Elephas maximus indicus: one gene and its partner. The protein of the gene in region 1 interacts with the protein of each later gene in a pairwise test. Links are inferred from orthologs where the notes say so. Each region holds a gene or a part of one and is shown on either strand. Other genes may lie near its edges.

Evidence for each region.
Region 2: the proteins of MYOZ1 (region 1) and FLNC interact in a two-hybrid assay, tested with the Homo sapiens proteins (2 studies listed by BioGRID and IntAct). The link is inferred for Elephas maximus indicus from reciprocal best matches to the Homo sapiens genes MYOZ1 and FLNC.

Annotation. Positions count from the first base shown.
Region 1 is NC_064834.1:13,856,675-13,871,748, forward strand, and holds MYOZ1 (myozenin-1), read left to right. Parts: upstream 1-8,408; 5' UTR 8,409-8,496; intron 8,497-9,659; 5' UTR 9,660-9,677; coding exon 9,678-9,750; intron 9,751-10,667; coding exon 10,668-10,846; intron 10,847-12,644; coding exon 12,645-12,930; intron 12,931-13,290; coding exon 13,291-13,456; intron 13,457-14,414; coding exon 14,415-14,646; 3' UTR 14,647-14,911; downstream 14,912-15,074. Other genes in the region: SYNPO2L (synaptopodin 2-like protein), read left to right, coding at 2,562-4,738. UniProt on the Homo sapiens protein: Myozenins may serve as intracellular binding proteins involved in linking Z-disk proteins such as alpha-actinin, gamma-filamin, TCAP/telethonin, LDB3/ZASP and localizing calcineurin signaling to the sarcomere.
Region 2 is NC_064826.1:21,234,003-21,249,013, reverse strand, and holds the start of FLNC (filamin-C), read left to right. Parts: upstream 1-7,932; 5' UTR 7,933-8,126; coding exon 8,127-8,481; intron 8,482-12,888; coding exon 12,889-13,137; intron 13,138-14,613; coding exon 14,614-14,711; intron 14,712-14,854; coding exon 14,855-15,005; intron 15,006-15,011.

The DNA of each region.
Region 1 (15,074 bases):
TTAGCACAGCCCCCCTTCCCATCATGCTGGGTGAGGGTGTAGTTAGTGGCTCAGGAATATTTTTAGCCAAGCAGACCTCATTGTCAAATGGGGTGGGGTAGGGGGAAGGGTAGGCAGGTGCCAATGTCCATCACACCAGGGCTTGTGGGGCAGCCGAGAGAAGGGAGGGGGCCAGGCTCCAAAAATAGCACAGTGAGCTCATTCAGCTGCCAGCTCTGGGGACCAGACAAAGGGGCTTTAAAAGGCGTGGGGGGTGCCTCAAGCTGGTCCTGCTCCAGCCAACACTGCCTTTCCCGGCATGGAGACCTTTGAGCCCCTCAGCCAAGAGCCTCTCAGCCAAGCCAGCTGTGACAAAGCCCCAGGCCCAGATCCTGAGCTCCAGGACCCATTCTATGCAGGTACTACCTTCCCATAGCCAGGGCTGTTCTGGGATTCAGAGTGGGGGAAATGTATCAGCAGTTTAGGAAGGGAGGTCTTTGGGAAAGGTCTTATTCCCTTGACCCTCCTCCTTTTTGCCTTCTCTTTCTCCTATTTTCAGGAGTTTCGCTGCTCCTTTCTAGAAAAGGCTGATGCATGGCCACTTGTTGAAGTGACTTGTGATCACATGGGTGATAGACAACTCATGGGGAGAGTGTGTACATGAGAGAGAGAGGTGTGAGCACAATATGAGTACATGAAGGCATGTGTGTGCGAGTCTGTGGGAGTAGAGAAGATGTGTGTGAACAAGAAAGTGTCCATAAACTTGTGTAGCTAGTGTCAAGAGGATAGTAATGGCTGGTCATAGTAGGCCTTAGCACCGTGTTGAGTGCTAAACTTACCTACATTATCTCACTTACACCTCATAGCAACTCTGTGAGGTAGCCATTATCATCCTCATTTACAGATGAGGAAACTGCTCTTCAGCAAGGTGAAGTAAACCCCACTGCCGTCGAGTCGATTCCGACTCATAGCGACCCTATAGGACAGAGTAGAACTGCCCCACAGAGTTTCCAAGGAGCACCTGGCAGGTTCGAACTGCTGACCTTTTGGTTAGCAGCCATAGCACTTAACCACTACACCACCAGGGTTTCCAAGGTGAAATAACACCCCCAATATTTCAGAACCAAAAATCTTGGAGAGCCTGGATTTGAACTGAACCCTGATTCCAGAGCCTGTATTTCCATTCACAGCACTATTCTGTTATAAACGTTACAATAAGAGGCGTGAGAGCCCTAATTAGAAAGGAGCTTGGTTGGTATCTTGAGTGGGAAGTAGATGGAATTTAAAGAATTTTTCAGGAACTGAGGACTATGGACCAGAGAGTACTGATGTCCAAAGCAGGGTTCCAGCAGCAGGGCAGCCACTCCCATTTCCTGGCCCCACCTTCCAAGGCCCCACATGGTATGGAAAGCCCTGCCCTGGCTCCCTTTAGCACACACTCCCTGCGTGCCTGCCTGGGAGTCACTGCCCACACTCACTACCTAGAGGGGTTGAAAAAGAGTGGATAGCTCTGACCTTCAAAGAAACCCACCCACTCCAGCTTGGGAGAAAGGAGAGTATATTTAGCTGGCAACCTTGAGGTGTCCTATTATTTGGAGGGTTAGTTTGGAGAGCAACCCTCTGGCTTTTCCTGCATCTTGGATCTGAGACTACCCCTGGCTGTGAGTAGGAGGGGCGTGAGGCACAGAGAGATGTTCTGGTGGTTGGAAAGGAAAATCAGCTCCGAAGTTTTGTCCTGTTAGGAACAGTCTCTTCAGAGGGAACTCTGGGAAGAAGGGCCACCAGGAATGTGTCTGTGTTGGAGTGTTTGAGTAAGCCTGTGTTCTTGTGGGCACGTGTGAATTTACATATCTGTATGGTTTTGGGTATGTGAACATGAACATGTGAGCTAGGGTAAATGTGAATGACAGGAAGTACACATGAGTAAATGTACCCATCCTGGCTTTCACTAGGCCAATATTCTTGCTGGAATGATGTGTGATGGTCATTTCTATGAATGTTTGTATATAATGTGTGCTGCATGATGGAGGTGGCAACGTGAATGAAAATCCTCATTGCTAAGGATCCTTTGTGGCCTTATCCTAGGGGTAGGGGGTGGGAAGAGGGGCTGTTTCCAAGGGGTTCAAACTTTGTGAGAAGTCTCCTAACATGGCCTCTGTCTCTATGGTGGGAGAAACATGTCCCTTCTCATCTCTGACCTGTCCTGTCTCCCTTCTTACTATGAGGAGTGACATCTCCCCTCCATTGCCAGCTAGGAATGGAGGGAGGCAGAGGAGGAATGTGTGTGGCCGGGGTAAGAGCATATCTCTGAGAAGACAGGAATGGAGGAGAGGGAAGAGAGGATAGGAGGAGGGCTGTGGTCAATGCAGTGTTGGGACAGTCAGCTGGACTCTGCCTTCTCTTCAGCTGTCCTTAATTTCACCTTTCACCCTGCACTCTGCCCCCAAGTCAGAGAACTTTGCCACAGACAGGAGACATTGTAGGTTGGCCGGTGAAAAGACGGGGAGCCTGACGGAGCTGGGAAACAGGACTAGAAGAGGTTGGGGAAGCCCGCTGACTATTTTCTCTCCTGGCCTCCTCAGAACTGCAACGTGCAGAGAGCCTCCAGGAGAAGAGCGTGAAGGAGGCCAAGACCAAATGCCGGACAATTGCATCCCTGCTAACCGCCGCCCCCAACCCCCACTCCAAGGGAGTGCTTATGTTTAAGAAACGGCGGCAGAGAGCCAAGAAGTATACGCTAGTGAGTTTTGGAGCTGCAGCTGGGACAGGAGCTGAAGGGGAGGAGGACGGTGTACCCCCGACCAGTGAGTCTGAGCTGGACGAAGAGGCCTTCTCCGACGCCCGCAGCCTCACCAATCAGTCTGACTGGGACAGCCCCTATCTGGACATGGAGCGGGCCAGGCCAGGTTCAGGTGCAGCAGAGGGCCAGGGCCCCGGGCTTGGAGGGCAGCTGACTGAGGCCTCCGGGAGAGGGGTCCAGCTCTTTGAACAGCAGCGCCAGCGCGCAGCCTCCATCACCCAGGAGCTGGCCCAGGATGGCCCACCAGCCATGCTCAACGGGAAGGGCCTGCAGTCACCCCCTCGGGCCCAGAGTGCGCCCCCGGAGGCGGCTGTGCTCCCACCTAGCCCTTTGCCGGCCCTTGGGGCCAGCCCCAGACCCTTTCTTCCTGGTGGTGGAGCCCCTTCCCCATCTCCTGGTATCTTTAACCGGTCAGCCAGGCCATTTACCCCAGGTTTACAAGGGCAGCGGCCAGGTACCACCTCAGTTATTTTCCGGCCCCTAGCCCCCAAGAGGGCGAATGAAAACCTGGGAGGCCTCAGCCCCGCCCCACCCCCCTTCCTGTCCTCTCCACCGGGGCCCACTCCTTTGCCCAGCTTCACCCCAGGGGTTCCCAGTTACGTGCCAGCCTCCGGTTCTCCCAGCACTCCGCGCTCCTCGGGCCCCGTGACGGCCACCAGCTCCCTGTACATCCCAGCTCCCAGTCGGCCTGTTACTCCAGGCGGAGCCCCAGAGCCCCCCACTTCCACTAGTGCAGCCGCCATGACCTCCACGGCTTCTATCTTCCTATCGGCACCTCTGCGGCCAGCTGCACGCCCAGAGGCGCCAGTCCCGGGCCCAGCTGCCCCTGAGGCCCCCAGCGCACGGGAGCAGCGCATCTCGGTGCCAGCCGCCCGCACCGGCATCCTGCAGGAGGCCCGGCGCCGGGGGACTCGGAAGCAGATGTTCCGACCGGGAAAGGAGGAGACGAAGAACTCGCCCAACCCCGAGCTACTGTCGCTGGTGCAGAACCTGGATGAAAAACCCCGGGCCGGGGGTGCGGAATCTGGTCCCGAGGAGGACCTTCTGAGCCTCGGGGCTGAAGCCTGCAACTTCATGCAGCCACCAGGGGGCAGGAGTTACAAGACCCCGCCTCCCGCGACACCTAAAACCCCGCCTCCGATGGCTCCCAAGACTCCACCCCCTAGGACTGCTAAGACTCCACCCCCGATAGCTCCTAAACCCCAATCTCGAGGGCTCCTTGATGGGCTGATGAATGGGGGAGTCCCTTTGTCTGGAACCCCTGAGCCACCAAGGCTACAGGGCAGGGGTGGGGAGCTGTTTGCCAAGCGGCAGAGCCGTGCAGACAGGTATGTTGTGGAAGCTACACCTGGTGCTGGCCTTGGCCCTGGCCCAGGGCCCAGAAGCCCTTCTCCTACTCCTTCACTGCCCCCATCCTGGAAATATTCCCCCAATATCCGTGCTCCACCTCCTATTGCTTACAACCCACTGCTCTCACCCTTTTTCCCTCAGGCTGCCCGAACTCTCCCGACTAAGGCTCAGTCCCAGGGACCTCGGGCAACCCCCAAGCAGGGCATCAAAGGTATTGATTTCATGAGGCACCAGCCCTACCAACTTAAAACCTCCATGTTCTGTTTTGATGAGGTTCCCCCGACTCCAGGCCCCACCGCTTCAGGGCCCCCTAAAACTGCCCGAGTCCAGGAGATCCGCAGATTTTCCACTCCGGCGCCCCAGCCCACTGCAGAGCCCCTGGCCGCCACAGTGCTTGCCCCACGAGCAGCCACTACACTGGATGAGCCTATCTGGAGGGCAGAGCTGGCCTCAGCCCCTGCCCCTATCCCAACCCCGACTCCAGAGTCTCCCAGGGGCCTTGGAGCCTCCCCCAGCTCCTGTGGCTTCCAGGTAGCCAGGCCCAAGTTCTCGGCCACCAGAACAGGATTGCAGGCTCAGGTGTGGAGGCCTGGGGCAGGACACCAGTGAGCAGAGCACAGCTCCCAGGACCAAGGAGAGGTGGGACATCCTGTTCCTAAAGTTGCTACTCCTGTACCATCACACCTCCCCTCTCAGGCGTCTGGAGGCTAAGGGTCCCTCCTGCCACAGATAGTTTTGGAGTTAGTGTCCCATCCCCCAGCTTCCTGCTCACTCTCTTTGTCTCTGTATTTCCTTGCTGGGATCTCTCTCTGTCTTTATCTCCAGGTCTGTCCTCCCACACTCTTGCACTGCATCTATGTTTCTCTACATTTGTGCTTTTCTCCGTGGGCCTGGTTTTAATGGGAAACACTGGTGGCATAGTGGTTAAGAGCTAAGGCTGCTAACCAAAAGGTCGGCAGTTTGAATCTACTAGAAGCTCCTTGGAAGCTCTATGGGGCAGTTCTACTCTGTCCTATAGGGTTGTTTTAACATTCAGTGAGAAGTACAAGGGACGTTACCACTGGAACCTCAGGCAAGATGCTCACCACCAGACAGACAGCAAAGGGACTGAACTGATGCCTGTTTGCAATCAGTCCCTCCCTATTCCTCGCTCTTCTTTCCCAAGCTTGGCTGGCATATACCTAGGAATGTGTGTGTGCGTGTGTGTATGTGCAAATGTGCGTGTGCACAGATGAGCTCTTCTAAGGCAAGAGTAAGAGGGGAGGTCTAAATAAAGGTCCCACCTGGGTCTTACCCTTGCACTGATGAGCGAAGGGTCAGATATTATTCCCACATGGAATGTCCAGTCTGGAGAGAGATTCACTGGAGAATAACTCCTCAGAGACCAGCATCTGCAGCAGGTGTACAGCATCTAGTGAAACTTATGGGGTATGAGGATATTGAAGGGCCGGGACACCTTGCATGGGCTGTTATAGCAGATAGACCAAGAATAGGACTAAGAATTCTATTCCTCAGGATTTCAGAAAATTTGCAACCTGAGAAGCCCACGCTGAAAAACCTAGCATCCAGGAAGTGATAAAACATGAAATTTCCTCTGAGAATGAGCAAATCCTTGGCTTCTGAGCCTAAGACAGAAAGGAGGGAGAAAGGAGCCAGGGTGTGGAAAGTGAGGCAGAAACCAGGAGCAGAACAGAAACAAGTGGAATGGATTGAGCCATAGACGGGAGCAGGGTGCAGAGCACGGGAGAGCGCCATGTGGGCAGAGAATGCAGTTGAGTAACAAGAAACCAACGGCATGCAGGGAAGGGATTGGGGAAAACTTGAGGGAGAAGAATGTATTTGTCAGCATAGTGAAGGGGAATGATGGTCGGAGGCGGTGAGGCTGCGTGCAGAGTGCTGAAAGAACAGCTGGAGTCTGTGCTACCTTCGAGTCTGTCCCTTAGTCTGTCTTCTGCAGCTTGTCATGACGACCTGGGAAAGGACAGAGAAAGACCCAGAGTCAACCCCTCCTTTTATTCCCAGCCTGTCCTTCAGAGCCCTAGCTCTTGTTCCTTTCCAGCTTCAGGCCCTGGTCTCTGATCCTGGAGGGGTATGGACTCCCCTCTCACCTTGGCCATCACTAGCCACGTTTGCTGCTTGATCTGGAAATTGATCGTTGCCTTTGCTTATTAGGTGTGAGTCACGGTACTTTGTTTTGTGCACAATAAACTCATGCCCCATACCTTCTGTTGCTGTCGTCTCTTCTACTTTTATACCCAAATCCTGATCTTGATATTCTCTGACCCATCCCCCTAATCTGATTCCTGCACTCCCTCTCCCATTCCTGCTATCCCATTTTTCACCCTTCATCCCCAATTTCCATTTAGCCACCTCCACCACTCCCCTTGGTTTCTTCTCCCCACATTCTCCATCCAGGTTCTCCCCATTTCCAGTCCCTGCTCCACACTTCCCAGGCATGGCCTCCGCGTACAAAACTGAGAAGTTGGAAAGGCCCTCTGAGCCTTTTGCCATTAACATTTCCTAGCTCCCCAGGGGAAGCAAGCATGCTAAACAGTCTCTGGGAATTAAATGGCTGGGGGTGAAAATGGGATGGGTGAGGGAAGAAGGAGAGAAAGGTGGGTCAGTGTGGATTTAGACTAGTTAAATCGCCAGAGGCAGGCTGCAATAAAAGCCTTCTGAGACGGAAAGTGCCACTGTTCCAATTGTACCGGCAGGGGGCATGCTGATGCCTATAACCAGACCCAGAACACTGATACTCTCAAGTACATAAAGACCAAAAACCAAACCCATTGCCATGGAGTCAATTCCAACTCACAGCGACTCTACAGGACAGAGTACTCAAGTACACATTAAAAAAAAAAAAAAAAAAAAAAAATTTTTTTTTTTTTTTTATAGCCTCTGAGAATTCCAAGGGAAGAGTCTAGGGAGAGCATTAGGCTGCATCTTCTGTCTTCACTTACCTCAGTAGTTTTAGGTACTCAGGCGTAGATAAACAATCAAAATTTTGGTTTTTGTTTTTTGAGGGGAGGGTGGTGAGGATGATGAAATCACCTTTTGCTATTTATGTTTTTTTTTTCTTCTAATTGCTTCCTTGGGTTGGGACGGACTAGAGGGCAGAAGGCGAAAGATCCGGAGGCACAACTGGTCTGGGACAGGACCAATGAGAAGGGGAGGAGGACTTCTCAGCCCCTAGCCTGAACCTGAAGAGTACAGAATGGGAGAAGGGATTGGACAGACAGAGTGGAGAGCTCATAGAGGGACGGAGGTGTCTGGGAACTTCAAAAGCCACTTCCTTAGCCACCTGCAACAGGGTGGGGTGGCTACAGCAGCAGCTGGTTCCAGAACCTGAGCAAAAGGTGGAGGAGGAGCCAGGATGTTCACGCAGCTACTAAGGAAGGGAATGGGAAATGTCATCCTTCCCCCAAATGGGCTCTCAAGCTTATGCCCCTGCCCAGACTCTCCTTTTGAACAGTATAATGGGACAGCCCGGAGCCTATGGGCTATGTGCACCCTTTGAAGGAAGTCCCAGAGGGTAAGGCCCTGGGTGCTTCTCTGGGGTATATCAACATCTGTCCTGTAGGGTGGGCTGAACAGAGCTCCCCCAAATGGGCAGATCCAAGTGTTCACTTGTTCTTAGAACTGCCAGAGTTTAAGGGGAAAGAAAATGGAGTGATGTGGACGGAAGGATTGGCCAAGCCTTCCCCACATCATCCCTGACTGCCTACAAGCATTGGGTTTGGTTAAATTGATCCCTTATCCTGCCAAGATCTGGCCCTCAGCAGAGAAAGACCAACCCCTCCAGGAACTTTAAAAGAGCGGATTCTATTGCGAACAGATGTTCGTCCCCTTCCCAAACATAGCACCTTAAGCCCTCCTACCCCCAAATACACCCACAGGTCCCTCCAGCTCCTGCCTAAATTGGCTCTGGGTGGCCCTCAGGACACGTTCTCCAGGATCTCTCTCTCCCTCTCTGAATTCCTATCCACTACTTGCTGCCTCCTTCCTCTCCTTCCGTCTTCAGTTTCTCCCTGAATGCTTTCCTAGATCTGTCTCCAAATGCCAAGGGAAGGGGAGCTCCCCCTAGGCAGGCTGATCCCTGGCTCAGACAGCTCACTGGGAGAATCCCAAAGGCCTTTTCTCCCCTTCAGGAGCCTCTGGGCAAGGAGGGCGGGATCTTGGTTCCAGGGTCTCAGTACCCCCGGTGCCATTTGAGCTGCTTACACTCATCGTCTCTATTAATAACCACCCTCCCTCCCCCACTGTCAGTGCTGCCCCCACGCCTGTCCATCTCGGGTTCTCGGTCATAGCAGCTCAGTCCTCCAAAGCTGCTGGACCCCAGGGAGAGCTGACCACTGCCTGAGCAACTGGTAAGTCCACCTCTATGGCCAGAGGGGCTGGAGTCCACTCTGCTTACTTCTGTGTGTGTCTGCAGTTGTTAGTTTTCATCCTACGTGAGTGCCCCCCATCTATGCTCAGCTCTCAGCTGTCCAATTCAGGGGTGCCACAGAGAGTTGAAAAGAGATAGATCCAGGAGGTTGGAGGGAACAGAAATATTGGGAGAGGCACTGGAGGAATAGGGGGTCCAAGAGGCTGATGGAAAAAAGAATCTGGGAGGGGCTGAGAGAGGTGCAGGGAGAGTCCATTTAGTGTTTCCTGGACTCTGGCCTCAGTAGACCCCACCAAGCTGGTAGAGTTGCAGACGTATTTGTGAGGCAGGACTCAGCAGAAGAGGGGATTTTGCTAAGGGCCGGCTTCTGTTAAGGAGAAGCTGGAGTCTGTATCTATTCCCAGTTTGTTCCCCTCCACTGCTAGATCCTGTTACTATGTTCCTGTCCTCTGCAATGATATTGCTGAATTGACAGGCTCAGGGTGCAAATGTTCCCTGTCTCCCCACAACTCCAGTTCTGGGATCTGGGGTGGGGGTGGCTGAAGGGGAGCACAGCCGTGACCTTCCAGGCCCTGTTCCAGCTGGCCCAGTGGTGGACCAACAATCTCTCCTTCCTATGGAGAATGTTTTTGGCTGAATCCCCGTAACCCTGGCAGAACACTTCTCTGCCCCCCTGGGGCTTGGGGAAGATTGAGAAGAGGCCAGAGCCTGGAATCACAGCCCCAATTTGAGATCCCAACACAAATAAACATTTCAAATCATGCCAATCCAATGAGACCTGGGTGCGTTGTCTTGCCTGGGTTGCCTTTTTTTTTTATTCCCACCCCCACCCCCTGTGCTGTGTCCCTAATCCCTGCACCAGCCCTATAAAAAATAGCTCAACAGAAGTTGGTGGGAGGTAGGCAGGGGGTACATCTATATCTCCTGCCCTGCCTCCCAAGAAGGCAGAAGCTCTAAAGCAGTGGGTTTTAACCTTTTGGGGGAATCCATATTTCTTCGAGAATCTGATGAAATTTTGCCCGCTGAAGCTATTAACCACAGGTTAAGAAGTACTGCCCTGGAGTGGAAGAAGGGCTCTTTTGTAAACACTCACCCTTCCCTGTCTCTGTCATCCTTCCAACTTCCCCTTCCTGCCCTATTCAGGCTGAACCTCCCTCCACAATGCCACTGTCAGGAACCCCGGCCCCCAACAAGAAGAGGAAATCCAGCAAGCTGATAATGGAACTCTCTGGAGGTAGGGCAAGGATGCATCTACCTAGCGTGGGGACTTCTTATTAAGAGCATCCCTGAACCAAGAGTCCCAGAAATATCATAATTTTATATATGTCTTAGCCTGAAGGGATAAAAGAAATTCCAGTCCGGGACAGGGGGAAGAAAGGAAGAGGGAAAAAAGGCTGGACACTGACTACTTATCCTTCCACCCTTTTCACCTTGTAACCTGAGACAATGCTCTGCCATATTACCTAGCACAGGTCCAGGACCACTGGGCGACAGGTCAGTGGGGTGTATGTCTGAAGGTGAAAACACATATGACAGAGACTGACACAAAGAAAGAGCTCAATAAATGGGTGATTTCTCCCAGAAAAATTAATTAATTTCCTTACTTCTTTCCCCAGAAGTAGGGCTGTGGGGAAACCACATGGGTATTTCTCTTAGGGTTAGGCAGGTGTGCATGGTGTAAAGCACTCTCCCAATACCCAGAGGCTGTTGGGAGCCAGAGTTCACTGAGGGGAAGGACAGGGAAAGGAGTTAAGATAGGAGTCTGTACTTAGAGGTGGCCACCTCCACATGGGATTGACCTTTGGGCTTTCTCCCATGCCATGGTTGCCTCAGTGCTTCCACCTATAATGTTCCTTTACTCCTTCTGCCCTGTACCCCATGCCCCTCTTACTCCATCTACCTCTTTACTCAAGAATCCTTACTACCTCCATTCTGCATCCCAGGTCCCATGCTTTCACTCCAACTCCAAATCCAGGAAATCAGAAGTCAGACAATCTAGACAGAGTTTGATCAGACATCACAGACAGCACCTGTCCCCTAAGTGATCTCTGCCAGGACACACAAACTTAGTTGTGGACAGGGCCTACGACCTGAGCCCAGAAAACTCTACTTCCCTCTTCCCTTGCCTCTTCCTCCTTACCTCCCTGAAAGGTGGGCAGGAAAGCTCAGGCCTGAACCTGGGCAAGAAGATCAGTGTCCCCAGGGATGTGATGTTGGAGGAGCTGTCACTGCTCACTAACCGGGGCTCCAAGATGTTCAAACTGCGGCAGATGCGAGTGGAGAAATTTATCTATGAGAATCACCCTGATGTCTTCTCTGACAGCTCGATTGTGAGTTCTGAACCTTACTGCTGTCTCACAGCCTGGGGTAGGGCCTGAATCTCCAAAATACCACCAAACTCACCCCTCTGAAAATTCATAAACTCATTAAACCCCCAGATATACTGAATCCCCAACAGCTCCAGTGAGTTACAGCTCATCACTGAAACTCAAAAGTCTCTATCTTAGAGCTGGTGGAAGTGGGTTGGAGGTGGGAGAGAGGTACCATACCCTCAGGGAGAAAATTCCTTCCCAGTTTAGGTTAGTGGTAAAGATAGGGTTACCCATAAAATATAGAATGCTTAATTTTATATTTCAGATACATAACAGGTAACTTTTTTAATGTATGTTCCATGCAATATTTGGGACATAAAAATAAAATAAAAATGTAAGCCCAGTTAAACTTGAGTTTCATATGCATGCAAATAATTTTTAGGATAAATATGTTGTTGTTATCGGGTTCCAACTCATGGCAATCCCATGGGTACAGAGTAGAACTGCTCCACAGGGTTTTCAAGGCTGTGACCTTTCAGAGACAGATCGCCAGGCCTGTCTTCTGGCACCTCTGGGTGGGTTTGAACTGCCAACCTTTTGGCTAGTAGTTGAGTGTTTAACCATTTGCACTGCCCAGGGACTCCTAGTTTAAGTATGTCCCATGCAATATTTGGGACATATTTATACTAAAAAAATATTCATTGCATATCTGAAATTAAAATTTAGCTGGGTATCCTGTAGTTTTATTTGCCAAATCTGGTAACTCTAGAGTTTAGTTTTCATGGCCATCTCCTTCTTGAGCCATTCTTTTGTTTAAAGGGTCAGCCTTTTAATGTGACCCATTATGTGTCCCTCTTTCCTCAGGACCCCAGATGTGGGGACTGAAACTGTCCTTCTTCCAGATTCTACATCCCCTACTCAGGCTTCTTCTCCAAGGGAAAAGTAGGAGTTGGAGAATGACCAGGCACAGGATGTTAAAACTGAGAGAAGGAAGGAATCCTCTCTATTTCCTTTCCTCCTCCTCCACCTTCCTTGGGGGGTAGGAGGGAGAGTGGATATAGATGCCTACATGGGACCAGGGGCAAGAATGTTCGTCATTGACTCTTATTTACGTAGGAACAGTATAAAAATGCTGAGCCAGTCACATCTAACTTTAGGAGGCCAAAAGCCTTCTTCCCTCTCTGGGTCTGGTTACACGGGGTGGAGCATGGGGGTGTGCCTGGTGGGGTGCCCAGGAGAGCCTCCTGAAGGAGCTGGCTGGGTTATTTTTAGGCTTCATGGCAGAATCCAGTGTTGCCCTTTTGGGCGCCCTTCCCCCCATCCCAGCTACAATTTCATTGTCAGGAAGTCAGTCCTGGTTCAACAGGTATCAAGAGGAAGAGAGAGAGAGGGAGAAGAAAGTTCTGTGTTTTGGACAAGCTGAGAAGGGGAGGGGCAGAGCTCTCTATAGTTCTTCAAATTAAGGGTAGGTTCTCCATTGCCAGCCCCATCCTCTCAAATTTACCTGAGCAGGCAGAAGTCTTGGTCCTCTTTACCTTGGTAAAGATGGGAAAGGGGAGTGTGGAGAATGAGTTGCTTCCATCCTAATGAGTAACTGGAGGAATTAAGCCAAGGGGGTCCCACCTTTCAAGGAGAGTTTAGATGCTCTCAGCCAGGCTATTCACCTTCCATTCGTAGGAAGGGGGAATCTAGAGGGTTCAGTGTCTTCCAGTTGGCCATTGTCTCATCACTTCCTCCCTGTCTGTTCACATCTCTCTCTCTGTAGATTCCCCGTGTTCATCACTGTCTGTCTCCTAACTTTGTTCTCTCTTTTCAGGATCACTTTCAGAAGTTCCTTCCTACAGTGGGGGGTCAGCTGGGCACAGCTGGTCAGGAATTCTCCTACGGCAAGGGCAGTGGTGGAGGCCAGGCAGGGGGCAGCAGCTCTGCCAGACAGTATGGCTCTGACCAGCAGCACCATCGAGGCCCTGGGTCTGCATCTGGGTCTGGAACTGGGGGCACAGGTGGCCCTGGGGGCACAGGTGGCCCTGGGGGCCAGGCCAGCAGAGGAGGAGGTAGCTCAGCAGGAGGTGGCTCAGTGGGAGTTGGCGAGTCGGGAACAGGTAAGTACCCTCACCCAAGAGTAATGTTTCTGGGCCCCAAAGCAGGGATATGAGGCCTAGACTGGGTGTGGGGAGCAGGGGAGGCCAACTGAGATATCTGGGTAGATTCTCTGGGTTTGGAAATACACAGAGTTGTGTCTATTCCACCCAGAAGCCTTGTCTTTCAGTCACTTTTTCGGTTTTTCAGATCCAGTCACATATTTGACCCCAAGCTATCATTATGCTACAAACCTTAAACAATTACCAGAATATTGTACCTTTGGTCCCTTGTCCCAACCCCTAGTGAAGCGGTATAGGATTAACTTTCATTGGCTACTAACTGCTATTATTTGACCTACCTTTCTCTCCCATGGCTTCCAGGAGACCAGGCAGGTGGAGAAGGAAAACATATTACTGTGTTCAAGACCTATATTTCTCCATGGGAGCGAGCCATGGGGGTTGACGCCCAGCAGAAAGTAGAACTTGGTATTGACCTGCTGGCCTATGGGGCCAAAGCTGAACTCCCCAAATATAAGTCCTTCAACAGGTAGGAGTGGTGGGGAAGGAAGCAGATGCATTCTAGTGTGTGGGATGGAGACTTTGGTTCAAATGTTTCAGGAGGATGAAGAGGGATGAAAGGAATATGGGGGCCCTAAATGAAGGCCTTTGCTCTCACTCTAGCTCAGAGAAACAGATCAGTATGCAGAAGGAAAACAGTACTGAGAGGAAGGATCTGAATTCTAGTTCATAAGCTACTTATTAGCTATGTGGACATGGGAAAGTCACTCTCCTTCTGACCCTTGGTTGCCTCAACCATAAAATGGGAATAATGTATTACCTGTTTGAAAGCCTCCTTTGAGGATCCCTTCCATTCAAGGTCTAGGATTCCATAACTGTCCTGTGATATGATTCTGTTTCCTTATACCCTACTTTAGTAAGGCTCTAAGTACCTGTTCTCTATCTCCATAGATCATGGAGATCTGTATGAAAGCAGGATACTGAAGTATTAGAGAAGTGCTTTTGCACTGGGTCCTCTCACCCAGGCCATCCACTATCCCCTGGGGGTAGCATGGAGAGTTGGTAAAGTCTCTACATTAAAATTTAAGGTGGCCTCAAACCATTAGGTCTATAGTATATGGGGTTACTTTCTCTGAAATGCATGCTGCTCTGGGTCACAACTATTTATAAAACTATCTAGGACCCACAGAGCCCTCGTGGCTGCTAACCAACCAGCTGCTCCATGGGAGAAAAGATGTGGCAATCTGCTTCCATAAAGACTACAGCCTTGGAAACCCGATGGAGGCATCCCATAGGTTTTCTATGAGTCAGAATCGACTTGACGACAACTGGGAATTTAGGACCCACTAGCCTCCTTCTTTTATTATTAGCTTTGAGGAAACAAGCAAACCTGACGACCTCATCTTCAAAATGGGCTAACATCTCACTGATAAGGCTCTGTTCTTTTTATTCTGGTTTTTAATTAAATAATGTGTCCCCCATCTCAGGACGGCAATGCCCTACGGTGGATATGAGAAGGCTTCCAAACGCATGACCTTCCAGATGCCCAAAATTGAGCTGGGGCCCCTGCTAAGTGAACCCTTGGTCCTCTACAACCAGAACCTCTCCAACAGGCCTTCTTTCAATCGAACCCCTATTCCCTGGCTGAGCTCTGGGGAGCCTGTAGACTACAACGTGGATATCAGCATCCCCTTGGATGGAGAAACAGAGGAGCTGTGAGGTGTTTCCCCCTCTACTTTACATCAAGTTTCCCCTCTCTGGTTCTACTTTGGAGAGTGAATGCTGAGCAGGATACCCCCATGTAAATCCAGTAACCTTGTAGGAATGGAGGAAAAAGGAGGGAGAGATCTGCTTTTCCATCCTTTACTCCAAGTCCCCACTCCAAGCATCCTTCCTTTCCAACTCAGAGCTCCCTTTCCACTTACACCATATGGAACCTACTCTTTTATGGAATTTGCTCTGCCACCAGTAACAGTCAATAAATTTCAAGGAAATGAACTCATTCTTCCTCTGATATGTGAGGGCAGACGAAAGCTGAGACTAACAATGCACAGAGACTAATTAAAGTCAAACACTAAGCATTCATTACTCAGACTTCAAGACCGGACCTGAGCTCTGGTTGCTTACACACCCACACCCACATCCAC
Region 2 (15,011 bases), on another chromosome or scaffold:
TCCTAAGAAGATCTGTTTGGGAGCCTTTGTGGCTTAGTCCTTGGGACTTTTTTCAAGAGTTGCACTCAGAGATGAATCAGTTGTTCAGGGTCCTGACAGTAAACAGGTGACACAAACGGTTTCACTGAAGAGCGTTTAATGAAGGGACAATGTACAGAGAGCAGGGTTAAGAGAACCAACAGGGAATAGTGAAGTGCCCAGGCACCGGCAACAGTGGGGTGGTGTTACCAACACAGGCCTAAAGGGAACCAGAAGCTACAGCCCTGAAAAGGGGCCCCAGACAGGAATGGTGGCCATAGAGGAATGCAGCCTCTGCCAGAGCCCTCATGAGTAGGGAGTTATTTATTCCCCATCCTCCCTCTCCACCTGCCAGTTTCCTACGGGTGCCACCCACTGACTGAGCCCAGCTGGGAGCCAGAGAGCAAAGGTGTCCAGGTTATGAAATCTCTGGAGGTCAGCCTCCTGGAGCTCAGAGCCAGCAGAGGATTGAATGGATCTAAGTGGAGACAAACAGAATAATTTATGAGTGCCCTTGTTTACCTTTATCCCTGTGGGCCCCTTTTGTGGTTTCATGAATGTTTCCATATGAAAGACCTCAAGTGTATCTGTAAGCCTCAGTGGACACAGTGGCCCCCATGACTACTCATTTCCTTGGGAGCCCTCTCTCTGTCTCCTTTACGCCTAATGCCAAAGGAATTTGCTTCATTCAACCAGATAACTGAAGCAGCATGTGCTTCCAGAGTGTGTACTGTAGTGGGCACTGCCAAGGACTGCATGAATTCATTACTTCTCCAGCCCTTTCCAGGGGGGCGTAGCAAGGACATTTAGAATTAGGAGATTTTAAAATTGTGTGCTGCTTGGAGGAGTGATAGGCTGAATTGGAGTCCATCCTGGAAGGCCTGGGGCCAGCGCTGAAATTGTAACCAGCTCCAGAGTCCTCACCCTATAAACATGGCTGCAATAGGAAAACTGAGGGCAGGGCTACCTGTCCCTTCTGCTCCCCCTCAAAATGACTGCTCTTTAAAGACCCTATTTAGGGTGGTCTGGCACTGGGTTTTAGTCCCTGGCTACTCAAAGTGTGGTCCATGGACCAGCAGCCTCAGCATCACCTGAGAGCTTGTTAGAAAGGCAGAATCTCAGACCCTACTCAGACCTACTGAAACAGAATCTGCATTTTGGCAAGGTCCCCAGGTGATTAGCATACACAATAAAGTTTGAGAAGCATTGTTTGAGTCAATGACATTAGATTCTGTGTTCTCAGTGGTAAACTAATTAAAGAACTTCCTTCACAACCCACCTGGTACCCGTGGCCACGTGTTGAGTGTAGTAAGATGCTACCGTTTACCCATTTTAGCCGCCAGTTGGCTGGAAAACACACCCAGTGAAAAGGACTGGATGATCATCTGTAGCTGAGAATCAGATTTAAACTTGGAATTAGAAGCCAAGATGGAGGTCAGGATCTGGTAGGCAGATGGCCCCTTCCCAGGACCAAACCTAGAGGCTGAGTTTCTTAGTTATCTAGTGTTGCTGTAACAGAAATACCACAAGTGAGTGGTTTTAAAGAAATTTATTTTCTCATGGTTTAGGAGGCTAGAAGCCCAAATTCAGGACACTGGCTCTAGGGGCTCTCTTTCTTCGCTCTGAGGGAAAACCCCTGTTTCAGCTTCTCCAGCCCCAGAGTTCTTCAGTTCCTTGGCAATCTCTATGTGACATCTATTCCTACACTGATATGGCCTCATTAATATAACCAAGAAAACCCTATTCCCAAATGGGGTTACATCCACAGGTATATGGGTTAGGATTTACAACACATCTTGGGGTCACACAATTCAATCCGTAACATTCCACTCTTTGGCCCCCCAAAATTCATGCCTTTCCCACATGCAAAACTCATTCACTACAAGATCATCACAAAAGTCTTATTCCATTCTAGCACAACTCTAAGTCCCAAATCTTACCTCGTAAATCATCTAAATCTAAATCAAGTACGTATAGGTGAGACTCTGGGCCTGTTCCATCCTTGGGCAAAATTCCTTTCCATCAGTGGGCCTCGAATACAAGTTATCTGCTCCCAAAGTACAATGGCGGAATTAGGTACAAGGTAGACATTTCCAACCCAAATGGGAGAAATTGGAGGGAAGGAAGTGTCAAAGAACCAAACAAGTCCAAAACCTGGCAGAGCAAATTTCATTAGCTTTCAAGGCTTGAAAATAATCCTCTGTTCTCCAGGACCATCTGGGGAACAGCCCCACCCTCAGACTCTGGATGTTGGCCTCCCTCTCTGGATTCTGGGTGGAGGCCCCTTGGCCCTAGGCTTCAGTCTCTCCTTCCAGGCCCACTGGGATGGCAACCCAGCTCCCTCGACTTTGGGTAACCTCATTTTCCTGATCCACCTGCGTGGTGACCCCAACCCCTTGGCCCTGGGTGGCTCTGTTCTCCTGGCCCTTGGACATTGCAGCCCCTCACCCTCAACTCTGGGCAAAGGCCCCATCCTCTTGGTCCACCTGAATGGCAGCACCACGCTCCAGAATCGAGATGGTGGAGATCTAACTCTTTGAAACCTAAACCAAACCCATTGCCAACGAGTTGATCCCGACTCATGGCGATCCTGGTGGCGTAGTGGTTAAGTGCTATGGCTGCTAACCAAGAGGTCAGCAGTTCCACCTCTTGATTCCAGGCACTCCTTGGAAACTCTATGAGGCAGTTCTACTCTGTCCTATAGGGTCACTATGAGCCTATGAGACTTTGAAACCTAGGAGGCGGTTTTTCCACCCTTTGAAACAGAGGCAGCCCTGCCCGCCATAGTTCCTCAACAGTCCTGCTGATCTCTGAATTGTTCCTAGGATGATGCCTTCCTTTTCTTGGAGGACAACAGATGTTCGCAGCCAAGCGGCTTCACTGGCCCATTTTCTGCCTGTAGGATTCCAGGATTGCAGCTTTCCTTCACGTTGTACTATCTGTCCCTTCTAGTCTAATCGGACAAGATTTCTGCTGCGGTGGTTTATTAGACCCATCAGCTGCAGGCTTAATCTCTTTAACAAAAGACTGTTTAGCCAGACCCTTGATGAAAGTTCCAGGACACGTGTCCTTAGTCTGTACAACAGAATTTTCCAGAACTTTATTTTTTTAAGTTCTGGTTTCATTTTGTACAGTTCATTTTTAAGTTCATCTCTTTCCTCCCACATTTTACTTTAAGCGGCAAAGAGAAACCAGGCTGCCCCTTTAAGATCTTGCTTAGAAATCTCCTCAGCCAAATATCCAAGTTCATTACTTACAAGTTCTACCTTCCACTGAACATAATTCAGTCAAGTTCCTTGCCACCTTATAAAAGCATCACCCTAAAAAAAGAAAAGCACCATCCTTCCTCCATTGTCCAATAACCTGTTCATCATTTCCTTTTAAGGTTTCACCAGAAGTACATTTAACATCCACATTTCTAGCAACATTTTGTTCATAGTGATTGAAGCTTTCTCTAGAGGATTCCTCATTTCTTCTGAGCCCTCATCAGAATTACCCGTAGTGTCCATAATTCTACCAACAGTCTCGTCAAGGCAGTCTAGGCTCTTCCTATGAGGCTCCGAATTTCTCCAGATTCTGTCCATTACCCAATTGCAAAACCATTTCCACATTTTAGGTATTTGTTGAAGCAGTACTCCCACTTACCAATACCAAATTCTGTTTTAGTTGTCCAGTGCTGCTGTAACAGAAATACCACAAGTGGGTGGTTTAAAAGGACAAAAATTTATTTCCTCATGGGTTAGGAAGCTACAAGTCCAAAATCAGGGCACCAGCTCTAGGGTAAGGGCCTCTCTCTGTCCACTTTGGAGGAAAATCCTTGTCTCAGCTTCTCTAGCCCCAGTGCTCTTTGGTTCCTTGGCCATCTCCAGGTGGCATCTATCTTTCCCCTGTTTGTGCTAGCTTCTCTCTGTGTCTAATCTGCTCTTTTTATATCTCAAAAGTCATTAGGTTTAAGACACATTCTACTCTGATATGGCCTCATTAACATAACAAAGAAAACCCTATTCCCAAAAGGAATTGTATCCATAGGTATCTGAGTTAAGATTCCAAAACATAGTTTAGGGGGACACAATCCAATCCATAACACAGAGTGTCGGCAGGAATGTGGCCCTGCCTTTCCCTACATATTTTTCCTTAGAATAGACCTCTTCTTTTTGGAACACTTGCCTTTATGTGAGCATAAGCCCCTCTCTGCTCATGTTAGAACCTCATACTCTTCACTTGGCTTGAACTTCATGCCTTCTGGTCTTGTTGATACACATTGTGTTGAATGTGGAACATTCCCTTGAGCCGGTTTAAGAAAAAAGGGGCGGGATTGATTTTAAGTCGACAGGGGTGCCTCTTAGAAGCCACAGGCAGGCATGTAGCCAGGCCTACAGGTACAGTTGGAACCAAGGACTCCAGACCCCTTCAGGAGCCCCAGTTTCTCACCTCTGCTGTCCCTGCATAATGCTTCCTTTCTTCTCTCTCCCTCAAGACCAGCCCCCTCTGTTTCCCTGGCTCCCCTCCCCCCTTCAATTGCACATGGAAGAGCACCCTGCCTGCCACTCCTGCCAAGGACCAGCTGTTCCTGAGGCCAGTGCACGGTTCTAGAGATCAGTTGTGCTGCTGGCTCTGACTCTGGCAGGTGGAGGGTTAGTACACAGATTCACTAGGGAAGGGAAGAGGTGAGCAGTGTGGGGATTCCGACAGTGGTCTCTACAGGGGCTGTAGAGACAGAGCTGTAAGGGAAGAATTCACCAGGACCCACTTGGTCCCCAAGATACCAGCAGGGGAAGCAAATGACTGTTTTGGAGCACTTACTATATGCCAGGCACTGTGCTAATCATTTTACATGGTATCTCCTTTTATCTTCACACATTAAAAAAAAAAAAGAAATCCCTATAAGAACATTATTAACTCCATTTTATAGATGAGAAAACTGAGTCCCAGACACATTACACTACCTGCCCCAGGCTACAGAGCCAGAAGTGGAGAGGCTGGAATTCAGCCTGTGGATCCTTCTACTCTGCCACACTGTCCCTGGTACCAGGCCCAGGGCCACAGTCAGTGTCATTGATTGGTCAAAGTGCTGGCTGTGAGCTTGGACAGCCCCTGGTTCCAAAAAAGCAGAATTTTCCAACATGGCACATTGGAGCCGCTTACTCAGATTCTACTCAGCCCAAGTTAAATATGGCCAATGTTGTGGCTGACGAGCAATGCCCCTTGATAGGAGAGGCAGGACAGGTGAAAAGCCTGGGCAACCTGGTCTCCTGAGGCAGGTCAGCAGGTAGTGAGTCAGGGTGTTATAAAAGGACTGTGGCAGCCAGCGCAGCCCCAAATTCTTAGCTGACGAAACCCCCTGTAAGTCCCTCTGAGTGCCCCTGCTGGCTGGGGGAGGAACAACACCGTTGGTCCTCCTCAGGGAGGTGGCCTCACTTGGCAGGCCCCAGAACTAGCATTGTGCACTGTCTGTTCAGGCCCACATGGCTGGGCCTGGGGCCTGGGCTCACGGGCTATATTGAGGTCTGAGTCACCAGCCTGTGCCTGGGTCAGGCTGACTGTGACTGGCTGGCTAAGGACTGAGTCAGGCCCCGATTTATCCTGGAGAGCAATGAGGCTCAGGTTTCGGGGGAGTGGAGTGAGAGTGGGTGACAGGAACAATCCCTTGGCACTCTGTATCCTCCTCTGCCACCATCCACTCAGTCCCCTGGGAAGGCACACTGGTCTCTCCTGGAGTAAGATAATGAGTCAGAGCGGGGAGAGTAATGGGAGATTATATGTGGGAATTCTCTCTCTACTCACTTGCTTCTCTCTGAACTTTCCTCATCTCCACGGAGGCCCCCAGTTGACAGGGGACCTCAGGGAATATTCAAACAACAGGAATATGAGCCCTTAGGGCTTGAAAAGGAGCTGTCAGCTTCAGGCAGCCCCTTCTTACCCCTTTCTTCCTCCCCAACAGCTCAGAGAGAGGAATCTAGCCTTTCTCAGATCTGTACCTCAGTTTCTCCATGAGGCCTTCAGAGCTCCTGGCTCCTCAGGTTTGGATGTCAGAAGTCCCCCCTTTTACACATGCACACAGTTCTCTGGAGAAACCCAGCTCTGCCCCCTGAGGAGCTGGGCATCTCTCCACAGGAGAGCTTAGCTTGTCAAGTAGATGTGGAACACCGGTGCCTGATGGGTGGTTTTGGCCATGGGACGAAGGTGGCTTGGGGGAAATGAGAGTTCTGGAGACGCGGAGAGGGTTAGCCAGCAGGAGAGTGGAATTCCTGAGTACCTCGTCACAGGCAGCCGACAGAACATGAGCCACAAGGCCCAAGCTATTTATACCTCTCCTGTCACTATCAGGGCCCCCAGAGCTCCCCACCCCCCAGCCATGTACAGCAGGGCCCTTTTCTGTTTCTGGTCCCTTCTCTACTTCTCCCTTTCATTAAATGAGGAGGCAATCTCATTAAATGAGGAGGACAAGAAATCACTCACGGACACTTTCAATCATACATACTGTCCCCCGTAAAGCCCTTGAACTTCTTTCTCAGCTCCATAAGCCGGACTGACCTCATTCTGCCCTTGGGGATAGAGACCCCAAAGATGCCCACAGTCCCCTTCCTTTTTGCTAGGCCTGGGGGAGGAGAGGAAAAGGGTAGAAAGATTCACCTATGAGGTCCCAGAACCTTCCAAAATCCTCTCCATTGTCATCACATGCCTTGAATTGGGAGCTACCTGGCTTGAAGAAACTGCTCCAGCTCAGACATGGCCTACTACCCAGCTCAGCTTGCTATTGGCGATGTGAGAGTTTGCCTACTTCTTGCACATCCTCTCATTGATACGCCACTCAAAACTTACTGGGTCTGGAAGGATAGGAAAGATGACCTAAAAGGGAGGCCAGGAGACACGGAATACATGTATGCTACAGAATTGCAGGATATAACTTTTCTTCATGTAAATATGTTCTATAGCTCTTTCTTCTCATTCCAGGCCAGCTCGTCTGTTCATGTGCCTCAGTTTCCCTGCCATCGCCACTCCCCAGGCCTCTATCTGCCCTTGGCTCACCCTGGTTGGCTCCCTGGGGTTCTCTGGGCCGACCAGCCCTAGTCACTGTTCCCTCTAGGCTGCTCTGGGCAGGGCTCTCCTTGTTTGTGTCTGGCTAACCCACCCCCTCTCTGGGAGGATCTGCCCAGTGGCCAAAGTGGGCACATTGCCCAGGGGGCTCCCTGGCACTAAGGGGGCACAGTCTGTCCCTCCCCTCTCCTCACACTGGTTGAGTCAGATGGGGGGGGCACATTGTGACTCACTTGGTACCTTTTTCCTGAGCTCAGCTTCATTCTGAGAGGATGAGGCTAAATGGGCTGGTGACAGGCTCACTGAGTCAGGGGCAGCAGCCTCAGTCTTCCCCTGAGACCCTGGGTTTGGGCCCCAAATGAGGCCTTTCCACCTGTAAAGTGGAGCAGTGAGGTCAGGTACCCGGCCCCCCAAGTCTTCTAATTGGCCTGTCCCAGCTTCCTCTCAGTCCATCTCCACACAAGCACACACACTTCCCTTCTCAGCCCACAGGTGGACAATACCCTGGGCTAGGAGCCAGGCCTCCCAGCGCCTGTCAACGGCCCTGCCTCCAACCCGTCCAGAAAACTGTCAAAATTCTCTACGTGTGTCACCTTAACCACTGGCCTCAGTTTCCCCATTTCTCTCTTTAGCCCTGGCGGGGTGTGACGGGAGCATAGTTCATTTCGGACGGTGCTTAGTTTGGGGTGTCGGGGTGCAGCCTTGCCGGCGCTCTCGGCCCCTGGCCCGCAGCCCCGGGCGGGGAGGGGACGGGGAGACGCCGTGGGGGAGGGGAGGAGGCGGGGCCGCCCCCCGCGGCCGGGCGGCATTCCTGGGAGGCCGGCGCTCTGACGTGGCTCGGGGGCCGCGGGCTTCTTAAACCCCCGGGCCCGGCCCGCCGCACTTCCCGAGCACCGCTCCGCCCTCGGAGGGAGAGAGAGACCCGAGCGAGGAGGCCCGCGAGCCGCCCGCCCAGAGAAGTTGCAGAGCGCGCAGCCCAGCCCGCGGTCGCGCCCCCAGCCCGCCGGCCCACCCGAACCCGGCCCGACCCACCCGAACCGGCCGCAGCCCCTGCCCGCCCGGCCGCCAGCATGATGAACAACAGCGGCTACTCGGAGCCCGCGGGCCTCGGCCTGGCCGACGAGGCGGACGAGATGCCGTCCACCGAGAAGGACCTGGCGGAGGACGCGCCGTGGAAGAAGATCCAGCAGAACACGTTCACGCGCTGGTGCAACGAGCATCTCAAGTGCGTGGGCAAGCGCCTCACCGACCTGCAGCGCGACCTCAGCGACGGGCTGCGGCTCATCGCGCTGCTCGAGGTGCTCAGCCAGAAGCGCATGTACCGCAAGTTCCACCCGCGCCCCAACTTCCGCCAGATGAAGCTGGAGAACGTGTCCGTGGCCCTCGAGTTCCTGGAGCGCGAGCACATCAAGCTCGTGTCCATCGGTCAGTGCGGGCGGCGAGGGCACGGCGGGGGGACACGGCGGGGAGGTGTGTGTGTGGCGCGGAGCTGTCCCCCGGGCAGGGGGCACAGGAGCTGGTGGGCGCGGGGAGCAGAGACCTGGGGCAGGGCGGCTGGCAGGGAAATGCCTCTGCCCCGTCTCCCTCACCCTCCCGCTCAGGCCGCTGCGTTCAGGACTCTCAGGACCCTGGGCACCCGCGGCGTTCCCAGCCCTCCAGCACCATACACTCCCACCGACCTGCCTCTATTCATTATCCCTTTCCTTCCTTTGGGCGACTGGGACCCCCCCCCCTTCCCCGGCAAACAAAGCAGGTGGCCTCCCAGCACCTCCACGGGAAGGCGGGGACTGCAGACGGGTCCCCATCAGTGCCCAGATCCACGGGCTCTGAGGCGAGGGGGAGCTGGTGGGCGGCAGGATGTCGTCCAGGCCCACTTCGGGCTTGTGCTCAGCTCAGGTCTCAGGCCCGGGGCCAGGGCAGGCAGGGCCCTGCCTCAAACACCTAAAAAGGCACTGAGCACTGAACAGCGCCGGGAGCTTTAACCCCTGCCTGGCCTCCTCCTGCCCTGGCCCAGGGAGCCGGCTCCAGCCTTGGCCGGCCCCAGCCCATCCCGAAGCTGGGGATTGGCTGCAGCTAACGGTCTGGCCCGGGGAGGGAGGGGAGGCCTGTAAAAGGAGGGAGTCCTTGAGTGTAACCAGATTTGGAAGGTGTGTTGGGACGGGATGGGGGTGGGGAGGTACTCTAAGCTTGGCAGCAGAGAAGTCTAGGGTGGGTTTTGAGTGGCAAGTAGCGCCCCCTGTCCTCCCAGCCCTACAGTCATTTGAGTAGGCCAGGGTCCCGGGAAAGACCCTCACTCCCGGGGTAAACTCTTAAGAGTTCTGCTGTGAATTACATGAAGGGGCCCCATATGGGGCTCCATGTGGGCTTCCCAATGGGCCGGCCAGGTAGCCTAGAACCCCCCACGACTGCCTCAGAGACACCCCCAGATAATGGACTGTCTGTCCACCCCCACTGTCCCTCAGGGCCATCTCTGGTCCTCCTGAATTAGCAGCTGAGGTCAGTTTGGGGCCCTTTGCCCTGTCCAGTCCCCTCCCTTGGCCTTACCCCTCCTGCCCAAATACTGGCCCCCCCCCCCCAGCCCTCACCCCACCGCCTGCTCCAGCCTGGAAATAGCCCTGCCTCCGTGACACAGCAGATGTCTCTGAGCTTTCCAGAAGGACAAGCCTGAGGGCAGGCATGGGGGAGGGGGCTCTGGTGTGTAGTGAGGGGGTGTGGGGGGCTGCAGACTACATGACCGAGTGTGGAGGGAGAGTCAGAGCCTGGCCAGCCCCTGTCACCCCTGCATGCTGAAATTTGAGAGGCAGGACTGACTATCCCAGGTGGGGTCTCCCGGGACAGACAGGCTAGGAAGCCTCTCCACCTCCCTCCCCACTGGTCCCTCTCCAGGCCTCATCCTTCCGGACTGCACCTCTCCCTCCCCCAGAGCGGTGCCTGGCCCCTGGCCCCTTGGCTCTGAGCTGAAGGGGGAGAAGTGAAGGCTGGTCTAGGGGCAGGAGGGAAGCTCCTCCGTCCAGTTGAGAGGAAGGGGAGCTGGTCCCCATTTAGTAGGCCAAGTGGCTCCCTCGAGCTGATGAGATAAGCTGTCAGCAATTCAGCTGCTGGGGCTAAGGCTGGCAGGGAGGGGCCTGCTACAGGGGTGGTAGCCCGAGGTGTGAGGGAACAACCCATGGGAAGTCTGCTTCCCCTGGTTCCCCTCTTCTCATGTTTGGGGGGAAGGGGCTGTTCTGGGGGCCTCTGCCCCAGGCATGGTCTCAGACTGAAGGTGAGCATCTGGGCACCTGAGTGGGGGGCCCTTCTTGGAGAAGAGAAGCTGGGGCCAAGGGGGAGCTGGGAGTGGAGACAGCTACCCGAGGAGAGGTGCTTAGCCTGAGTTGGGGGAGCTCTGGCCCTTTGTGCCCCCTTACCCCGCCCAGGTCCCCTACTGCCCCCTCAGCCCCTCGGAACAAAGAGGCCTATGAGGCAACTCTGTCCCGCAGCTGTTCCCCAGTTGCTATTCCTTCTCCTTGAGCCAACAGCCGAAGGAGGGGCTGGAGGGGGCAGCAGCTGTCCCAGCACCTCCCTCGGCCCAGCCCTCTCTCCTCCTCCCCCTCCACTTGAGGCCTGGGGGCAGGGGCGGCTCAGGGACTGGCTTCTGGCTCCTCCCGCTCCTTTGGGGGTATCCCTAGGCAGGCGAGAAGAGGGCTTGGGGGAGTTATGAGGGAGGAAGCCTGGCTAGAGCTGAGCTCCCCTCCCCAGGCCTCCAAGGGGAAGGAGGGAGAGGAAGGTCACAGCTTCCAGAGTGGGACTCGGCCCCGGCCGCAGTCCCTCCCCCGCCCCAAGCCATGGACCACTTGCTGTCTGGCCCTGGGCCAGTTGCTGGGGAGAAACCTCGCTCTCCAGCAAGTATGAATGATCACCCCACACATCCCCTCCCAGCCCCCAGCAGTCTCAAGGTCTCCCTCCCTCCCTTTAGGGGGTCTGGCCCCAGCCCGCTGCAGGAAGCCCTGCTGGGTGGTGAGTGCTGGCTTTGGAGACTGTCAGGGCTGCAAGAGGTCGAGGGGCACTGGGGTGTCAAGACTGTGTGAATGCACTGTGGGTGTGTTTGTGCCATCGAGAGAGCAGAGCTTTGGGAGGCCGGGAGCGAGTATGTCATGGAATGTGAAAGCTGCCAAACCATTGTGCTGCAGTGGAGCCAGGGGAAAGGGGGTGGGCTGGGGAGCTGCTGGGGAAGGAAGGATGAATCAGTGAGAGGGTGGGGAACCTAGGGGCCAGCCTGCCGCCGGAGGGACTGGAAGACCAAGGTTCCCTCCTGGGGCAAGTGGGGTGGGGTGGGGTAGGGGATGCTGGAGTTCCCTGGCCCTGGGTCTTCTTCCACCCTTCCCCAGATCTAGGAATGGGGGGCAGGAAAAGATGTATAACAGGGAGCCTTCAGCCCCACACTCTCCCATCTCTCGGCAACGCCAGTAAACAAGGCTGAGTTTTCCGCCCCCTTTGAACCTCTTAATAGCAGCTCAGCTTGGAGCTGATGGCTTTCAGGTCTGCATTGTCCTTTACAGATGAGGATTCCAAAGATCTATACTCTAGGCCACCTAGGCCACTGCCTCCTGGATGTTTCGCTTTGGCTGTTGAAGGGGAGCTAGGCCTGAACAATCTGGGGGAGTCAGGTCTGATCCATAGTATTCCTCAAAGGAGTTGATAGTGGAGCGTGTCTCAGCTTCTGAGACTCCAGTCTACATCGGTGACAAGTCCCAGGCTCTTGTGAAATCCCATTTCCCCCCAGCATTTGCAAACTGAGCTTGCCAGCTGGACACCCTCTCTCCTCCCAGGACCCCATTGTTCCAAAAGCCTTTTATGGCAATCAAGGTGGAAACCAGGTTGGTCTTGTTCCTCTGCAACTTCATGTTTTAAAATATTCATTCATTCAATCAAAATTTATTGAGGCCCCATCAAGTCCTAGACCCTGAGTATAGAAAGATAAAACCCAGGGTCTGGAGTGAAAGAGGACACACAAAAAGCAGTGATACCACTTCTGTAAAAGACCAAGCCAGTTGCCCTCAAGTTAACTGAACTCCTGTATCTGGGTAGAACTGTGCTTCATGGGGTTTTCAATGGCTGATTTTTCGGAAGCAGATCGCCAGGCCTTTCTTCCAAGGAATCTCTGGGTAGACTCAAAGCACCAACCTTTTGGCTTGCAGCGAGCACATTAACCATTCGCACCACCCATTTGTATAAAACTCTAGGAATTTCGAGCTAATCTATAGTGACAAAGCAGATCAGTGATTACCCAGGAAGGGAAAGGCAAGGAGGGGCAGGAGGGAGGGATTACCAAGGGGTCCACACAAGAAAACTTTTGGAAGTGACGGATATGTTTGTTATCTTGATGTGGGTGATGGCTTTCTGGCTTCATGTCAGAGCTTATCAAATTATACTCTTTAACATGTGCAGTTTATAATATGTCAAGTATACCTTGATAAAACCATTAAACAAAAAAACTAGTGTCTGCCCCCAGAAGGCTTATAAACCAGTAGGGCCAGACAGATCCTGGATAATTGTAGGGATGGCTATAGCCGATAGGAGGCAGACTGGAGTGCTCTAACAGGCAAGAGTATCTGTGCAGGAGTACACAGGGCAGCAGCCTCATTCTGAAGGGAGGAGGCCCCTGAAGGACTTGGCATCTCCACTTTGCACCTAGTAGGCTGAGAGGGAGGCGGTAGGTTCCAGAAATAGGAGGCCTGAGCCCAGCGCTGTAGCAGCTGCCTTGGGAGCACCCTCCCCATAGCTGGGCAGGTGCAGAAGGTACCCTGGGTCGGAGGGTGGGCTTCCTGAGCCCAGCTGGTTCTCTGTGCTCTGCAGACAGCAAGGCCATCGTGGATGGGAACTTGAAGCTGATCTTGGGCCTGATCTGGACCCTAATCCTGCACTACTCCATCTCCATGCCCATGTGGGAGGATGAGGACGACGAGGACGCCCGCAAGCAGACGCCCAAGCAGCGCCTGCTCGGCTGGATCCAGAACAAGGTGCCCCAGCTGCCCATCACCAACTTCAACCGAGACTGGCAGGATGGCAAAGCTCTCGGCGCCCTGGTGGACAACTGTGCCCCTGGTGAGTGGGCCAGCGGGTATCTTGAGGAGCCCTCAGCTGGAAGGAGAGCTAGGATGAGCCAATCCTACCAAGGCTCACAGTTGTCAGAATGCACCCCTGTGGGGCTCCCTCTCCTCCAGCTGAGATTCATGCTGGAGTCAGGCCTCCACTGCTGGGTGTGCCAGATTCTACAGGGGTAGGAAGGGCTTAGAGCCCCTCATTTTACAGACAAGGATGTTGAGGGCCAGAGAGAGCCAGTGACTTGTCCAGGGTCTCTTGGCTTGTCTGGCAGAACTGAACCTCGATCCCCCGGCCAGGACACCCTGCTCCACGTGCTCTCTACTTTGACACCTGGGCACTGCCGAGTGCTCCTTTGTGAGACCCTGGGACAGCTTTGAGAAGAGGCTGAGGCCCGGGATGATGTGGACTGAGGCTGGCATGGCGCTGCCAAGTGGCAGGTGACCCAGCCCTGCCCCCTCAATGTAGGTCCTGGCCTGGTCGGGTGGGGGCTGATCAGGGCCACAAGGAAACTGAGGCAGCACAGGCTAGAGCCCCACCCCGTGCACCATTTCCTTTCTGACCCTCGTCTCGTGAGAAGATGGGGCTTTTTCCACTCTGGGTTGGTTAGCCCTGAACCTGGGGAGCCATGGCCCCTTGGGAGAATCCTTCCCCGCCCTGGGGTCAGCCGGGGAGCAGGGGGTGGGAGGCAGGGGCACCAGCCGCCTGGGAAGCATTCCCAACTGCTGAGCCATTGCCCATAGCTGGTGTAGCTGCCAGCAGTGAGCTCAGCTGTTCTGGCCAGTCATGGATTCCAGCCTTTGAGCCAGCCCCCTCCCCGCCATGTGAGAGTGCCCCCACCTCCAGTCCTGGCCAGGACCAAGTACCCCGGCCCCCTTTCACAGGAGCGATCTGGGGCTCCCTCAGCGTTTTTAACATTAGGAGGGCTGGGCTCTGGGCAGCTTTGGAGAATTCATCCTTCAAAGCCTCAGTTTCCCCAGGTGGCCAGTTAGCAGGGAGAGGGAGTCTTATGCCCTCAGGCAGGTGTGGGATGTATGCTTAGAGATCTAGGACTTCAGAACAGCTGTGAGGAGACCTAGGGACATACATGGGACAGACTGTGACCCCTTCACCCCTGGAGCAGCTGCAATGAGGCAAGAGGGGTCTGGGAGGGGAGCCCTCTCAGGGGCTTGGTGTTCAGGGTCTGTGCTGCAGCCTGAGCAGGCAGGAGGCTGGCTGTTAGGGCTAGTGCCAGGCTGCGTCAGCCAGGGCAGAAAGGCCTCATTGTTGGTGCTAGGGAAGGCTGCTGGGCCTCTGAGCAGAGATGGGCACCCCAGCTGATGGGCCACAGCCTTGGTGGTCAGCAGGTACCTGGCTGGTTCAGGGGCCTCGAGCTGGCTGGGGAGGGGTGCACACCCACAGTCCATGAGGGTGTAGGGTGAACGAATGCGTCTGTTCTGGGTGACTGGTTTCCCCTCATCGTCCTCCCCATCTCTCTAGGTCTCTGTCCTGACTGGGAAGCCTGGGACCCCAACCAACCTGTGGAGAATGCCCGGGAGGCCATGCAGCAGGCGGACGACTGGCTCGGCGTGCCCCAGGTACACTCGCAGACGGGATGGGGCCACTGGCAGGGGGCCTAAAGATGGAAGTTGGGTCTACAAGGACACCTGGCCAGGAGGCAGGTGAGGACTGGGGCTGCCGGGCACAGTGGGCTGTGTAACTCCTTTCCTCCCCGTGGCAGGTGATTGCCCCTGAGGAGATTGTAGACCCCAATGTGGATGAGCATTCCGTCATGACCTACCTGTCCCAGTTCCCCAAGGCCAAGCTCAAGCCAGGTGCCCCTGTCCGCTCCAAACAGCTGAACCCCAAGAAGGCCATCGCCTATGGGCCTGGTAGGT